2 linked regions of the Rhinolophus ferrumequinum genome follow. The protein of the gene in region 2 binds, or shares a complex with, the protein of the main gene of each other region. Links are inferred from orthologs where the notes say so. Each region holds a gene or a part of one and is shown on either strand. Other genes may lie near its edges.

The links. Proteins that work in one complex are often made in the same cells at the same time.
Region 1: the proteins of SLF2 (region 2) and SIMC1 are in contact, whole or in part, in a cryo-EM structure (PDB 7T5P), measured with the Homo sapiens proteins. The link is inferred for Rhinolophus ferrumequinum from reciprocal best matches to the Homo sapiens genes SLF2 and SIMC1. Residues at the interface, in NP_060591.3 of Homo sapiens: His738, Val772, Leu775, Lys778, Asp783, Phe786, Gln790, Gly791, Phe792, Thr794, Ser795, Ala796, Tyr797, His798, Tyr799, Cys820, Ile821, Gln825, Ser828, Met831, Glu832, Ile835, Arg836, Asp838, Thr839, Ser841, Asp842, Ser843, Pro847, Lys919; in NP_001295125.1 of Homo sapiens: Tyr426, Arg428, Leu431, Lys435, Leu438, Pro440, Val442, His443, His444, Leu445, Phe447, Gln448, Arg470, Arg471, Phe490, Asp493, Pro497, Val521, Asp522, Lys525, Glu526, Tyr528, Met529, Met532, Lys533, Gln536, Leu537, Arg571, Asn658, Gln661.

The regions. Positions count from the first base shown.
Region 1 is NC_046307.1:40,258,272-40,266,082, reverse strand, and holds the start of SIMC1 (SUMO-interacting motif-containing protein 1), read right to left. Parts: upstream 3,075-7,811; 5' UTR 2,952-3,074; coding exon 2,823-2,951; intron 1-2,822.
Region 2 is NC_046299.1:23,760,090-23,768,043, forward strand, and holds the start of SLF2 (SMC5-SMC6 complex localization factor protein 2), read right to left. Parts: upstream 3,031-7,954; 5' UTR 1,783-3,030; coding exon 1,643-1,782; intron 1-1,642. UniProt on the Homo sapiens protein: Plays a role in the DNA damage response (DDR) pathway by regulating postreplication repair of UV-damaged DNA and genomic stability maintenance.

The DNA.
Region 1 (7,811 bases), on a different chromosome or scaffold from region 2:
ATTGGGAAAAAAATTAGACATTAATGTATTTTTGTGTATACACACAGAAAACTTCTGGAACAATACACAAAAACTGTTAGTTATCCCTGGAGAGTGGGAATGGACATGGGTGAGTTCTTACTGATTGCCTGAATTATTTCCTCTGTTTGTTTGTTTGTTTGTTTGTTTATTTATTTCAAGATTTTATTGGGGAAGGGGAACAGGACTTTATTGGGGAACAGTGTGTACTTCCAGGACTTTTTTCCAAGTCAAATTGTTGTCCTTTCAATCTTAGTTGTGGAGGGCACAGCTCAGCTCCAGGTCCAGTTGCCGTTGTTAGTTGCAGGACACGCAGCCCACCATCCCTTGCGGGAGTTGAGGAATCGGACAGGCAACCTTGTGGTTGAGAGCCCACTGGCCCCTGTGGGAATCGAACCGGCAGCCTTCGGTGTTAGGAGCACAGAGTTCCAACCGCCTGAGCCCCTGGGCCGACCCCTATTTCCTCTGTTTATAATTTAAAAATATTTTTTATAATTTAAAATGGGGTAATTTTATTTTTCAAATGATATGATTGTGTACCTAAAAAAAAGCCAGAGAGCCTATTGGAGGATACAGGGTTTCCTTCTGGAGTGAAGAAAATGTTCTAAAATTAGGTAGTGGTGATGGCTGTACAAGTCAGGGAATTCTATGGGTGAATTTTATGTACGGTATGAAATTACATCTCCATATAGGCAAGTCTCTCAACGCCCCTGAACTTTTACATGGTTATCCTATCACCCTATCTAATTTGCAAGAAAGATAAAAGGAGAAAAGCTTGGATTTTTTTTTAGAAAAGAGTAAGAATATCTGGGGAAACAAGATTTAAATTGGGTACTACTCTCTACAACTTGCCCTCATTTCTCTTCCACTCAGAAGGCTCAAGATCAAAATGCTTTGGGTGGGTGGTCATGAGGCGGGAGCAGTTTGAGAGTGCACCCACTTACAGTGAAGGGCCACCACAGACACACAGACTGGGCTAAGGATGACATCTGTGCTCTTGAAGAAGGAAGCTGGACTAGGTAGGATAAGGGGAAAGGGACAAGAGCTGGCACAGAAGGAAGCAGGCAGGGAGGAGCATGTTCAAGGGGGGCTGAAAGAAGGGGCAGCGGGAAACAGGAGGAGCCAGGAGCAAAGGCAGCTGTGAGTTCTTCTGCGGTCTTTTTTCCTTCCACCTTTTCCCTCTCTGTACTCTTTGATGAACTGTCACTATTAGGCCTTTGATGCTTTCTACTTCGGTGATTACCAAGTCTCTCCCCGTCCTGACTTTTCTCTGGAGATCAGTGTCTCTGGGCGGGCCACACCCATGTATGTACATTTCCCATTAGCACTTTAAATCCAGTAGGTCCAGGCTGAACTCAGCATCTCCTTCACTCCAAGTCTGCGACTACTCTTGTACCCGCTTTCACTTATCCAACATCCACCAGAACTGCTCTCTCTCCCCCATTCATTCCTTCAATCATTCTTTCGCCCAACAAATATTTGTTGTGGACCTACTATGTCTTACAACACTGTCACAGCACTAGGTACATCCATTCACTTACCAGCTGAATCACTTTTACCTTGAAAATCTTTTCTATCTCATCTAAATTCTTTACTGAGATTTATTGACAACCTCTCTTGCTTGAACCCTGGCAACAAAGCACTATATGTTAATTTCTTTTGCATGCCATTCATTCTGTAGTGGCCACTATACCTGGGGCACAGAAGGGGCTCACCGTGGAGGCTTAGGGACCAAACTGTCTGGGAAGGGGATTGGAGGAGCAGAAGTTAGATTTGTCTTGAAGGAATATTTGCATATGAAGAAAGGCGTTTTCCTTTAACGGTATGTTACAGTTCTATAAAGTAAGCACGGTCATTCCTCTATTTCTGGGGTACGGCTTTGGGAGGCTGGGAAGGGTACCGGAAGTCTGATATTGAAAGTCTTCTGATAGAAAGCCTGTACATCTCCCACCCCTTGAGAACTCAATAGCCACTTGTTGAATATATCACCTTCTATGAGAGGGACCACGGATGTTGTGTTCTCCATGGTATCCCCAGCCTCTGAAACATCTGGCCCATTGTAGTGGCCCAATAAATATCTGTGGAGGATTCTAGAAAGGCAGAGACCATAGATGTTTTATTTACCATCTTAGCAAGGACAAAGACCTGGAGCCCAAGGGAAAAAGAACTAGTGCAAGATGTTTCCCTTCCTTTAGAGCTTGGTAAATGTTTGCTAAGCGATATAAATCACCCTCCTGAACAACTCCAAAATCGGGCCCCTCGCTCGGCCGCCAGGCCCTGGAGCAGGGCCACCATCTGGCCCAGGCCCGCAATTCCCTCCCTTCCTCCCAGCCCGGGCTCCTGTTACCTCCCTGCACACATCTGTACCCACCACAAGCCAAACAATTACACGCTCCCGCGTCTCGGCCTCGAAGTCGGGGGCTCCCCCCAAGCCCCTCTGTCCCCTTGCACCCCTAGGCCCGGGGAAGCCCCCGGCCCGGCCTGATCCCGCCGCCTGCTGTGGGCTCTGGAGGTCCCCACCCCCGGCGCGCCTGGACTTCGCCCATGTGCTCCGCTGCGGCTCTCCAGCCTCGGCCCACTCGGGCTTGAGCGCGGAGCCAGAGGCCTGGCCGCCCCCGCCGGGGCCCGCCGCGCTCTACCCGGCCCGAGTGGCCCGAAAGGCGGCAAGGCGGGAAGCGGCTGTTGCTGTGAGACGCCACGGGCAGGCGGTGGGGGCGCCGGGGACAGTGGCCCGGGCCGAGGGTCGCAAAGCTGCGCGGCCCGAGCGGAGGCGGCGCTGCGGCTGCAGCGGCTCGCTCACTCACCACGGTCCGGCGGGACAGCGCACCGGAGGTCCGGGACAGGGCCCGGCGGAGCCGCCGCGCCCGGCCCGAGCGGGTCCCCTCGGAGCTCTCGGAGCCGCTGTCGTCCGAGATCACGATAAAATCATCCATGGCTGCGGACCCCGCGCAGCCAGCGCGCAGGTGGCCGGCGACCCAGGCGGCAGTGGCAGCGGCGACTCGGTTCCTGTTGCCGAGGCGGCGGCGGTGGCGACAAACCTGGCCATCACCCCGCAGGCCCCGCCCTTCCCGCCCCAGCCCCGCCCCGAGCCCCGCCCCGTGCCCACCCCGAGCCCCGCCCCCAAGGCCGCGGGCCGCGGGCTGCGCACGGAGGTTCAAGGCCGTGGTCACTGAGCTTGGCGGTGGCACTCGTCCTCCCTTTCTGAAGAGAAGAAAAAAGAGAAAACCGAGTTGCAGCTGGTTTGGGCCGCTGTTGGGGGCGGGCGTGCGAGACACTGCAGCTGCGAGGGCTTCCCCAACTGCTTCCGATTGACTCATGTGAAGAGGTGTGACAAGCCACACGGATCGCTGACTGATCCGGAGGGGCTGGCGGGGGGGAGGCCTGGCCTGGGGCTGAGGGGGGAGGGCCCCCGACTGACTGCCGGGGGGTGGGGACAGGGGGGATCCCTGGCCTGGGGCTGAGGCGGGGGCGGGCCTAGCCTCGGCCTGCGCCTGGGGAGAGAGGCCCCACTTCGCTGTGCACGTGTGCAAGTACATCTGTAGGATAAATTCCTCCAAGTGGAATTACTGGGTGAAATGAAATGTTTCTGTTGTTTCGATAATTATGCCAGATTACTCTCCTAAATTGTGCCAACTTGCAGTTTCAGCAACAATCCATGTCACTCCGTGTTGCAAGCGCCTGGAAGTGCAGTTGCCACATTTCAGTCTCTTACTGAAAGTCAAGGGGACATTAACCCCTTGGCAGAGTCCTACATCCCTGCTTGGTACTTGTGACCTGAGTGGGGAACAAAGGCCAGACACACAGGTTCAGATAGAGTGAGTAACACAACTTTATTTGGGAACCAATGCCCCTCCCAGGCCAGTGCTCTGGTAAGCACCACAGGTTATCCGAGATAAAATAGAATTTAATGACAAACCAAGTCCCAGAGTCAATCGAGGTGGAGAAGGTTATTGGTCTGGGAGAGGTGACTGCGCCCATGGTGGGTCTGAGGCGAGCTGGTCTTGCAAAGAAGAACTTCGGAGAGTCCTGGTATCGGGGCTGGCACCTCGCGGAGGGTCTGAGCCGCAGCGCCCAGTCAGACTGCTCACAGCATCGCTCTGGAGTTCTGCCTTCATCCTCTTTTCCTTGGACTTGTTTACTTCTTATGTGATAACCAGAAGTCGTTTTGGTGACACTCAATTTTGTTATGCTCAGTTTCACACATAAACATAAACATGTTTACTTTCACTTTCATCAGTCTCACAACTAATATGAGATGAGATGAGATGAGATGATATGATACCAGGTCTTATATTAATTTTTGCTCCAAAAGATGCGTTAGAGCTGATGGTCCAGCTAGGTCTTATTTTTGGGGAAACACAGTAGTTGTTTTTTTGGTTTTTTTTCTTCAGATTTTTATTGGGGAAGGGGAACAGGACTTTATTGGGGAACAGTGTGTACTTCCAGGACTTTTTCCAAGTCAAGTTGTTGTCCTTTCAGTCTTAGTTGTGGAGGGCGCAGCTCAGCTCCAGGTCCAGTTGCTGTTGCTAGTTGCAGGGGGCGCAGCCCACCATCCCTTGCGGGACTCGAGTTGTTCAACTGGCAGCCTTGTGGTTGAGAGCCCACTGGCCCATGTGGGAATCGAACAGGCAGCCTTCGGAGTTAGAAGCACGGAGCTCCAACTGCCTGAGCCACCGGTCCGGCCCTACGGTAGTTGTTTTGCAAATTTCAATGCAACAACAACTTTGTTTATGTGCTCTATACACTCAGGGATTTAAACTGTGAGATGGAGACTTGTTCAGTTTGGAGCAGGATCAGAAACTGAAAAAAATGCACAGAGTAGCCATGAGGTAGCAGATGCCATAAATGATTAGATGTTATGAATGAGCAAAGTTATAAAGATGGAAAAAGATATACCCGGTAGAGGGAGCAGCAGTAGGTAGTTGACGTAGGACAGGAACATTAAAATCAAAATAGGATCTGTGTTACAATAAATGTGGGGTATTGACGAAATCCTACCTCTCAGGCTCCAGCAACTTAGTAAAATGGATTAACAGATTCAAAGGAAAATGTGTTTATTAGAAAAGGGGTTGGTTCCTAAGGGATGGTTATTAGCCACTGTCTAAGCATTGTCTAGTGCTGTGATCCTCAAACTTTACTGAGTATCAGAATCACCCAGAAGGCTTGTTAAAACAGATTGCTGGGTGCCACCCCAGAGTTTCTGATTTAGTACGCATGAGGTGGGGCCCAAAATTTTGCATTTCTCACAAGTTCCCAGGTGAGGTCCATACTGCTTTTCTGGGGACCACTCATTGAAAACCACTGGTCTGGGGGGCAGGGAGTCTATGGCCAACAGATTTCAGAATGGCTGAAACCATCCTTGCTGTGAAGGGATTCAGGCGTTGTCTTCTCCAAATGCCATTAAACACTGAGTCTATTTGACTCCCTGTGTGCTTCTTTTTAGTCTCCTTAGCTGATTCCTGCTCCTCTCTCCACTCCTTAGGTCTTGATATTCCTCAGAGTCCTGACATAGGCCACCTCCACACACAATCTCAACTATTCCCATGGCCTTCATGATAATTCTTATGCTGATGATTTGTATGATTCTCCTTATCTGAAGTACCTAGAAAAGGAAAATTCATCGAAATAGAAAGTAGAATAGAGGTTATCAGGGTTTGGAGGAAGGCAGAATAGGGAGTTATTTCATGGACAAAGTTTCCATTTGGGATGATGAAGAGTAGTCTGGGAATGGATCGTCATGAAGGTTGTACAAAACTGTGACTATTAGTACCACTGAATTGTACATGTAAAAATGATTATAATGGTACATTTTACCACAACAGAGATATGTGGATGTTTTTCTTTTATTAACAAATTGAAACATTATAGATCAGGTTAAAAGGCCCCTTGACCACCTCCTCCATCCTGACCCCTGTTTCCCTTCTTCAGTGCTTCCGTATTTACTCCTAGAGCTTTTCTATATATTTATCTGTATTCAGAAGTACTGGTCAGAATGACGTATGTTTTTAGCTATATCCAAAAGGTAAGTCTGCTTTCATATAGAAATTTGAAACCATCATTGGCAGTGAAAGTGTTCCAAGCAATTCGGTTTCCTGCCTTATTAATGGGGATTTTGGGGTGGATATACAACTTTGAAAGGTTTTTTTCTTTCATTTTTCTTGTTTTCATTATATGGCAGTGTCGGTGCCTGCAGACCCGCTTTTATTTGTGCCAAAGCTAGCCAGCTCAGGTTTCTCCCTCCACTAGGGAACACAGTCCCTTCTGCTGCATTCCAGGCACAATCTTCCAGTTTCAGGACCCTCCTAGCTGTTCTGGACTGCTTTTGTAGGGGGCCTCTAAGTGTACATAACTTTATTTAGATCATTTTCTTATCCTTTTCCCCTTTTCCCTCCCAGCTTCTAGTTTGCCGAGATATCAAGTAGATGTCAAAATTTTTGTAAAACATTTTTTTTATCCTTTATGTTCAAAGATGATGCATCCTCGGTTTGAGAAAATGAAAGCAATTCAGAGTGGTTACAAAGCAGAGTGTACAACCACATCACACTCTGATAGCCTCTTTCCATTCATCTCTCAGTAGTCAAAACCCGCAGGTACAAATATGTCCATCATTTTATGTAAGTGGCATCATATCATGCTCGTTGTATTGCAACTGGCTTTCTTACATTAAAAACCATGACTTTACAGTTTTCTGTGTCAGTGAATATAGGCCTACATTGTCTATATTATCCATTTTATTGGCTTGTAATAATATTCTTAAAATAGTATGACATTAGCTCTTCTTGTATTATAGAAAAGCACAAAGAAGCAAGCAAAAGAAACATCATGTTTTCCTATCCCTGATTCCTACAATGAACAGTTTGTAAAACTAAAAGAAACATATCTATGAGATTAGAAAATTCATGCTACAAAAAAATTACAAAAAAGATAAGAAATTTAGCTTTCCGAAGGCTAAATACCAAGTACCTAAATACCCAAATAAATAGTTTCTTGTGAATGCTTCAAAACATACAAAATTACTATATACCGTGTATACTTATTTCTTCTTTTGTATCTTTCTCTTTTTTGTTTGTTTTTAACACAAGAAAGATCACACTATACACAGTTATTTACTTTGCTTTTTTTCAGTTGATATATCTTGGGGATTGTTCCATAACTGCAAGATAACTGTATCTTTGTAACTCCTGCATAAAAAAGTTGTTAGTTAGGATGTGCAGCAATTTATTTAATCAGTTCCCCACGATGGATATTTTGTTTCTAGGGTTTTGTTTGTTTGTTGTGTGGTTTTGATTTTACTATTACCAATCATGCTACAAGAATCTTTTTGTTATTAAACTTAACAAATCTTGCTAGCAAATCTCCGCAGAGAAATCCTTAAGCCTCGGGGACTGGGTTAAAGGGTGTACGTGTTTTATGTGTTGATAGAAATTACCAAATTGTCATCTAGAGAGTTAACACCAAACAGCATTCCAACAAAGTGTTGAGAGTGCTTGTTTCCCAAAATTCTACAAGCATTGGTTATCAAACTTTAATTGTTGCCAATCAAAGAAATTGAAATTGGTGTATCTTGTTCTGATTTCCATTTATTACGAACAAAGTTGAGATACTTTTAAAATGCTCTTTGGCCCTTTGTAGTTTTTTTGTTCATACACATTCACTATATTTTCTCCTAGGCTGTTCATCTTTTTCAATAGATGTTACTAGAATTTGTATAACTAACTTATTGAGCAAAGTATTACATTGCTTGGATAATTTATTCAGCTAACTGTAACAATGAACACTTAGGTGTTTACAAT
Region 2 (7,954 bases):
GAGAAAACTTGGAACAATCCAAGACCCTTGAAGGTTAAGTTTCTAAATCTTGTCCACTTTACTGGCCACATTAAAAGAGTAATGCCCATCTTTAATGGTTTACTGAGAGTTTACAATGTTTGTTTGAGATGTTGGTAGAAAAGCTAAGTGGTTATTAAATGAATATGAGTGATGGAAGAATCTATGCATTTGGTTTCATAAATTATATCAGGCAAATTAATTCCACGACAGGAGAGTAAAGAAAGAAATGTTAGAGGTTCTGTAAAGCACAGGATGATGCCTTCAGTTATTGGTTGAGGAAAGAGAGATGGCACAGGATTAAGAAGCAGTTAATGAATTCAAAACAATATTAAATGCTTTTACATTAATTACGAAAAGTAACACTATATCTCTTCCCTAAAATATTGATCCCTGGCTCCTTTTCAAGAAATATACAAGAGAAAATGGTTTTGAGTAAACATACAAGAAATTTGTAAACTATGAATGTAACTTTCAAGAAAGAACCGTTTGCTACGTTCATATGCACAGAAATGTTTATTACTTATTTATAACTAGTTAAAAAACTTATGCTCGCTTTGACAGCACATACACTAATACAAAAACTCACAAACTAACAGCTCACAAATCCTTATCTGAAACTTTTGCGGCCAAATGTATGTTAATTCGCTGAACGTACTAGATTTTAGAAAGGGGGTAACTTGGATGCAATATGTAAAGCCCCCCAGTGGGGTCTGACACTGAACTCTGTAAGCAAGCTCATTAATATTTCTCCAGCAAAACTTATGAATACTTACACTTAATGGGATAAAGACCTTATACAGCTTCCATTAATTCGAGTCACGTTTGGCTGCCAAGTAAGATGTGGTGCCAAACCTATTGAAAACTTTGGGTTTTCATACCTTTCTGACTTTCCGAAATAAGACAAGGGATTGTGGATCTGTACCACAATGTTAGAAGATAAATTTACTGTTAAACTTATGTTACAAGCTTTTAAACTTAAAATAAAAAAGACAGTACCAAGTGTGTAGAGAATGTAAATACGTTTTATTGTCAGAGGATGTCATTTGAGGAACTCCCCATCTCATCACATAGGCTCCCACAAAATGTTTACATAGTAACTGGCCTCTTGGCGAGAAGTAAAGTTACTGGAGAAAACATATCACACGCCAAATATACATGTTTTTTCAAGTATGAATTACCGTGTATATTGAACTATAAAGTAGTGGAAGGGTTTTCCTCATCACATCTTACATAATTTCACCCACACGACAGAAAGATTTGTACTATTAAACCACTAGGATCAGTAAAACTGACAACAGAAACCACGTAAATATGCATTAACCGGTTAGGGCCCCGGGTCCAGCTATCGTAAAGGACAAAAATTACGTTCTACCTAAGGCGGGATCTCCCTAGCCACCTCGGAGGTGGTCACTAGACCGAGGACAGCGTCCCAACTACAGAGAAGAAAACTCGAACTCCCAGGAGCCCCCGCGCGAAGGCGGGGCGGGGGTTTGCCAGGCCCCGGAAAACAGAGGCCTGAGCTCGCGGAGGATGGCGGGAGCTGGAAGAGCGGCCGTCTGCAATCCTCCCTCATACCCTTGCCCCCGCGACCCGGCCCCTTCTCAAGCCCTCCGCACGGTACCTTTCCCCAGGACTCTGTGTTCTCTTTCCCGCTGCAGCAGGGACGGTACTACCCGGTCTCAGATGACAGCGCGGGGGCGACGACCCCGGGGCTGGGGATGAGGGGAAACCTGGTCTAGTGAGCATGCAGCGCCTTGTCATGTCGGCGCCGCTGGCGACGGCGGCATGAGCTGTGGCTGGAGAAGTTGGGTGCGTGGTTGCCGTCTTGCTGCTGGGACTCCGGGAGGCTGTCGGAGCGGAGGTGGGCGGCACCCCCGGCTCTCTTCATGGCGGTTCTCTTTCTTCGGAAGTGACTCCTGTGTGAGCGGGAAGGAACCTGAGGACCATCAGGGGGCGGGTCTTACTTGAAGAGTCGCGTTCTGATTGGCTGGCACGGCGGTCATTGCTGTAGTAGCGCAATAGAGAGCCGCAGCCTCTCAGGAGAAGGAGGGGTTTCGGGAAGGGGGAGGGGAGAAGGAAAACTGCCCCGCCGTCACGTGTGCAGAGGATGGGGGCGCGCTGCCGAGTCCCCGCGGCGTCAGCCTTGGCTGGTCCTTGGGGGCAGGAAGGCGTGGGCCGCCGTGGGCGCTGCGGCAGCTGGCGACACCCGCCTGATCGAGAGCGAGGGGCGAGGTTTGCAGAAGCAACCCCAGCCCTGCAGCTACCTTTAGTGAGGATGGCCTACAATTGGGTTTTCTGTGTCTCACAATCGTGTCTCTGAAATCCCCAGCTGTTCATTACATTGTGTCTTTAGCATCTTAGGCCAAAGTGCCCTAATGCTGCCACCATTTCCTCCGTAGTCTGCACAGCCAGATTTGAAGACTTGTCCATTCTGTTAATATTCTTGTTAAGTGCTGTAGTGGATTCTCTTTCTTTTTTTTAAGAAGGAAAAAAACCCATTGAAATAAAGACTTTTTATTCCACAGAAGTATTTTGTTTCTCAGCTGCTGAAAGGAGTTATCTATGAAGTCTCTGCAGCCAGATTCCTTGGAGATTTTGGAAAGGAACATAGGGTCGGGTTTCAATTACCCATGTTTAAGTGTGGACAGCATAGATAAGTGAAAGCCACCAGCAATCTCCAGTCCTCCTTTGTAAATGGCCTGTGCTTTGGAGACTGTTAGCCAGGGTTTTTCTTTACAAACTGACGGACTACTCAGAGTGAGCCTCAGTTTCCACATCTATAAAATAGTATCTACTTTTTTTGGTAATTGTAAACCATAAAAGATAAGCGATGTAAACCACACAGTTGAGTTTCTCATGTAATAAGTACTGAGCAACTTAGAGTTCCTTCGTTTTTTTAGACAGACTCTTAACTTACTACAAAATTTTCCGGAGGTAGGTCAGACACTGTTACAACTATTAACCAATATATCAATCACAAGGATGTCCAAGTTTTGATTGGCAGGCCTGTTCAATCAGTTGGATGGAACAAAATCTTAAATGACACAAAAGAATTTAGACAGGTCTTTAAAGTTTATTGCACTGAGATTTAACTGCTTTGGAAGCGAAGCATGCCTGACTGACCTGAAGTTCACCTCCTTTCCTTCCCAGTTAGCCCTCAGGAGGAAGAATTAATGAGGAATAAAATGGCGAACAAGGTGGCAGGCAAAGTGGAGGGTAGAAGGTAAACAGTGAATGTACAGGTCTCGCATTCATCCAAAAAGCACACATGCACAGCTGTCTATATACTAGGTAGTAGTGATGCAAGAAAGGAAATACTAAAATAAGGAACATTTTTCTGCTTCTCTTAACTGAGAAGTTATTATTACTAGCATTGTTTCTTATGTACAAAAAGAACATAATAGATGCTCAAAATGTGTGGAATGAATAAAGACATACATTGTTCATTAAGGGCTTTTTTACATGTTTTATTTCCTATCTCTTGTCTGAGTGCTTCTGTTGGATGTTTCTACACGAGTAAGTTCCTGCTTCTATTACAGCACATCTACAAAGCATTTAATCTAATTCGTTTCATTGCATGTGCAGTCCATAAAAAAGAGTAATGCATAAAAACATGTTCTGCGTGATCAATTAGTTGCTTTTCTTGGATTACAGTATTTGAATCATCCAAGCCTCCAAGGTAGCACTTTAAAGTCTGTACTCATGCTACCAAACAATAGTTTCCACATTTTCTTAATCTGAGCAACAGATTATGGAGTTAAGTGAGGCAAGAAATCCCTTGATCAATAAATGGAGATGGAGTCATAATGAAAACACAATTAAAAAAAAATCTTAACAGGGAAGTAGTTATCTAAATCCTCAATAAGCATCAAGGCTCTTCTTTGTTTAAACTGTGTTCAAAAAGATACAAATTTGGGTTGCAGGGTGAAATATGCTCAATGTACTAATCAGAACTGCTAGGACTCTCTAAGGCTCTTTTCTCCCCCCAAATAGTGTTGGACACTATTTTGTTTATATGCCTTCTCCCACTTTGAATGTGTGTGCATGTATGCACGCACACACTCACACACACACACAGTTAATGTAAGGGCTTTTTACACATTAATTTGTAGTGGTCCAGAAATAGATAGCCAGGAAGCTGTACAGTAGGTAAAAGATGTTAAAGAGTTCAGGCATTTGCTCTCCAGGAGACAAGGGTAGAGAAAAACTTGGGTGGGGCTCAGGGAAAGGATGATGAGTAAAATAGACAAGACTGAATTAGAAGAGACAAAACTTCAGACAGATCCGGAGAAATCCAAAACTTCAATTCAAAAATCTTTATGCACTCCTATGTTTATTGCAGCACTATACACAATAGCTAAGACATGGAAACAACCAAAATGCCCATCAGTAGATGACTGGATTAAGAAACTGTGGTACATTTATACAATGGAGTATTATGCAGCCATAAAGAAGAAAGAAATCTTACCATTTGCAACAACATGGATGGACCTAGAGAACATTATGTTAAGTGAAATAAGTCAGACAGAGAAAGATAAGTACCATATGATCTCACTTATTTGCGGATTCTAAAGAAAAGAATAAGTGAATGAACTAATCAGAAACAGTTTTGGAGACAATGAGGAAAAACAGGGTTGCTAGATGGGCGGGAGGGGTGGGGGGTGGGGGGGAGGGTGAGGGGATTGGAGGGCAGTCGGTGACCACAGGATGGCCACGGGTTTGAAAATTAATCTGGGGAACGTAATTTGGTGGTTACCAGAAGGTAAAGGGGTTGGGGGGTGGGGGATGAGGGTGAGGGGGATCAAATGTATGGTGATGGAAGGGGAGCTGACTCTAGGTGGTGAACACAGTGTGATTTATGGATGATGTGATACAGAATTGCACACCTGAAATCTATGTAATTTTACTAACAATTGTCACCCCAATAAATTAAAAAAAAAAAAAGAAAAAAAAGAAGATAGGTGAAAAACAGAAAAGAAAAAAAAAACTTCAGACAGGATTGGAAAAATAATTTGGAGAAATTAAGGCCAGCTGACCTTAAAAGGCTAGTTTGGGAAGATTTGGGGACATGAGAAGAGGAAGCAAAGGCCACAGAACAGAGTGGCTTCTATGCATGAGGCGTCTATATGGTAGAGTTGATCTCAGTTTAGCATCCTGAGTTGTTAAAGACAATAGAAGAGCTCCAACTCTGGCCTTGAAGGGAAGGGAATGGGGCAGCAGCAGAAACAATGTTGCATGAACAACAGATTGTTTGCTAGGAATGTCAAGCCCAACAGTCAAGCCCAAGGTGGGAGTCCTGAGAGGTGTGGCAGTATAACTCATGCCAGAGATCCCAAGCAGTCAAAAAGAGAAAACAACTGGGGCAGATTGACTCACCCAGTACTTTAGGGGGCAGGGACTAAGAGAACAAAAGCTTAATAAGTTACAAAGAATGAAGAATGTTACTAAAAAGCAGAGGGGACTAAAAGTAACTTCTGATTTTCCAGACAATTTGACATTGTTTTGCTGTGAGATTGCTACACTCTGGAGTAAACTAGAAGACTCTTGTTGGAGGGTGGGCTAGGGCAGGCTGGGTTTGCTGCATAGCTACCAGTCTGTGGCCAAGAAAAGGTGTGGAGAGAGGGTAGAGGTCATCTGGGAAGGGGAATAAGGAACAGACTCAGAGAAATAAGAAATAATTAACTTGAATACCTGACAGGGAAAGAAAGACCAGGCGATGATCTGAAGAAGGGAAGGCAACCCCAGCATCTCAAGACCTGCACAAATCACTTTGCAAATGGATGCTGAACTCAAAACTGCCCAACAGGTGCTTGGAAAAAGCACTGGCTTGGTTTTAAGAGGCAGCTGGGGAAAAGTCAAATGCAATCCAATGTGTCATGTAACCTAAACTTCCTGGGAGTAATTAGCAAATTCTACAAAAGCAGATCTAATATTTAGGAAAATAGATTTCTTGTTACTTCACTATGGAATGGTGCAATATAGTTTTCCCACACTTTAGAACATGAGTAACATATTTGAGATTTTTTTACATACCTATTTCCTATACTATTACTTATGTAATATATTTTTCTTTAAATCACTTTTTAAACTTAAATACATTTATTTAAAAGAAAACTAAAAAAAAAATCATTTCTTTAAGTGAAACATCAGTATCACTGGAAAAGTGATAACTTTCCAAATGGAAGCTAACTGAAAACTAGTAACTAAATAAAAAATAGAAAAAAATTATCTCCATGTTTCTTTTAGAGTTATATTGTTTGCTAGTGGCTTTAGGCATAGGTATTACTCATACATCTGAAATATAAGAGACTCTTCGGGAAATATTGGTTTTATGGACTTCAGACTGTAAGCAGGTGTTTTTCAACTCAATTAGCAACCCATTAGAGGGTTTTGAAATTGATGTAGTGTGTGATGGCCACGTTGACAAAAAGAGAGAATGGAGTGGAGAATATCAGTGCATTTTTGCACATAGTATTTGGGTATGTGTTGTTTTGCAAAACTTTTACTTCTTCAGTTGTATATATATTTTATATGGCACTGATGTAAAATGTATTTCTGTGGCCTCAACTGTGGGCAGTGGTGGAAAATTTGAAAGTTGCTGTAATCTGTATCCCTATTTCACGCTTCTGTGTATTGGTGGCACTGAACAGCAGAAATCGCTTGGAGGAAAAATGATGGACTTCCTTTGGCCCGCCACTCCTGCTGGTGAGGAGGGTGGGGGGGACATAACTAGGGCTCTCCTTGTGCCCTTTTAAGGCCATACCCTCCAGAAGTTGGGGGGGAGGCGGATTTGTAGAGGGAAGCAGACGTCTCTCCAAAGAAGCTTGCCTTTATCCCTCCAGTGCTATAATAGCTTCAAGATAGAGAGGAGTGGCTAAGGTGGTCCTATCAGGTCATGCCTTGCCCTCTGTAATCTAGGGACTGCAGGTGAGAAATGGGACAGAATGGTCCAAAAGAGGCAGAAAGATCTATATTCCAAACTGTCCCTCGCATAAACCCCACCATCCTGGAACTGGAGACAGGATAATACATTTATTTGATCTCACACCTTTGCAATGCTCTTCCCAGAATTCAACACACCTTTCGCGACCCACAGGGCCTTTCTTTACTGGGCTCTGACCTGCCTCTTCAGAGTCATTCTCCATCACCACTATCCTTAAGCTGTAAGCTTCCACAACACCAAAATACTGACCCTTCTATGCCAGCCATGGTAAGATGCCCTCCTGAAGATGATCTTTTAACTCCTAAAGAGTTTTTTTGAAAGATGTGGGGCAACATCTTAAAATCAAGGGATTTCACACAAAATTCTAGATTTCTGGCTCACACTCATGCCTACAGGGGCTAGGTAGTAATATAAGTACATGAATCAGCTCCATTTTCCTAACTTTTATAGAGAATAGGGATCAGAGAAATATTTCTTAACAGCAAATCTTCACATTTCTACAAATTGGGAAATGGTGGCATTTACCCAGTGTTTACACAAGCATGATAATAAATGGCACCTGAAAGTCAGCCTCCCTGAGTAGAGAGAGGTGGGAGCGTGGGAGAACTGGAGGGCACATTCCCCACTAAATGGGGACAGCCTTTCCAGGCCGCAATTTCCATACGGGAATGTAGACCCAATGTTTCTTCCTTTTCTCTCAGCATCAGACCCCAGAAGTGGTGGGGTGAGACATGTCATAGACCTGCAGTAAAAGCCTGCATCCTCCCCACCATTTGAGGTGCCCTAGACATCTTGATACACACTCTAACATTTGTTTCTATAGTTCTATGAGATCATGCTCTCTTAAAGCACATGTCTCTTGGAACAAAATGAGCAGGAAATAGTACTTTTTGGTGCCTAGAGGAGTGTTATAGTAGTTAGCAGGATTTTCACTCGGGGATTCTTAAAGAAATTGCCATACTTTACCTATGATCAATACCTAGGGGCATT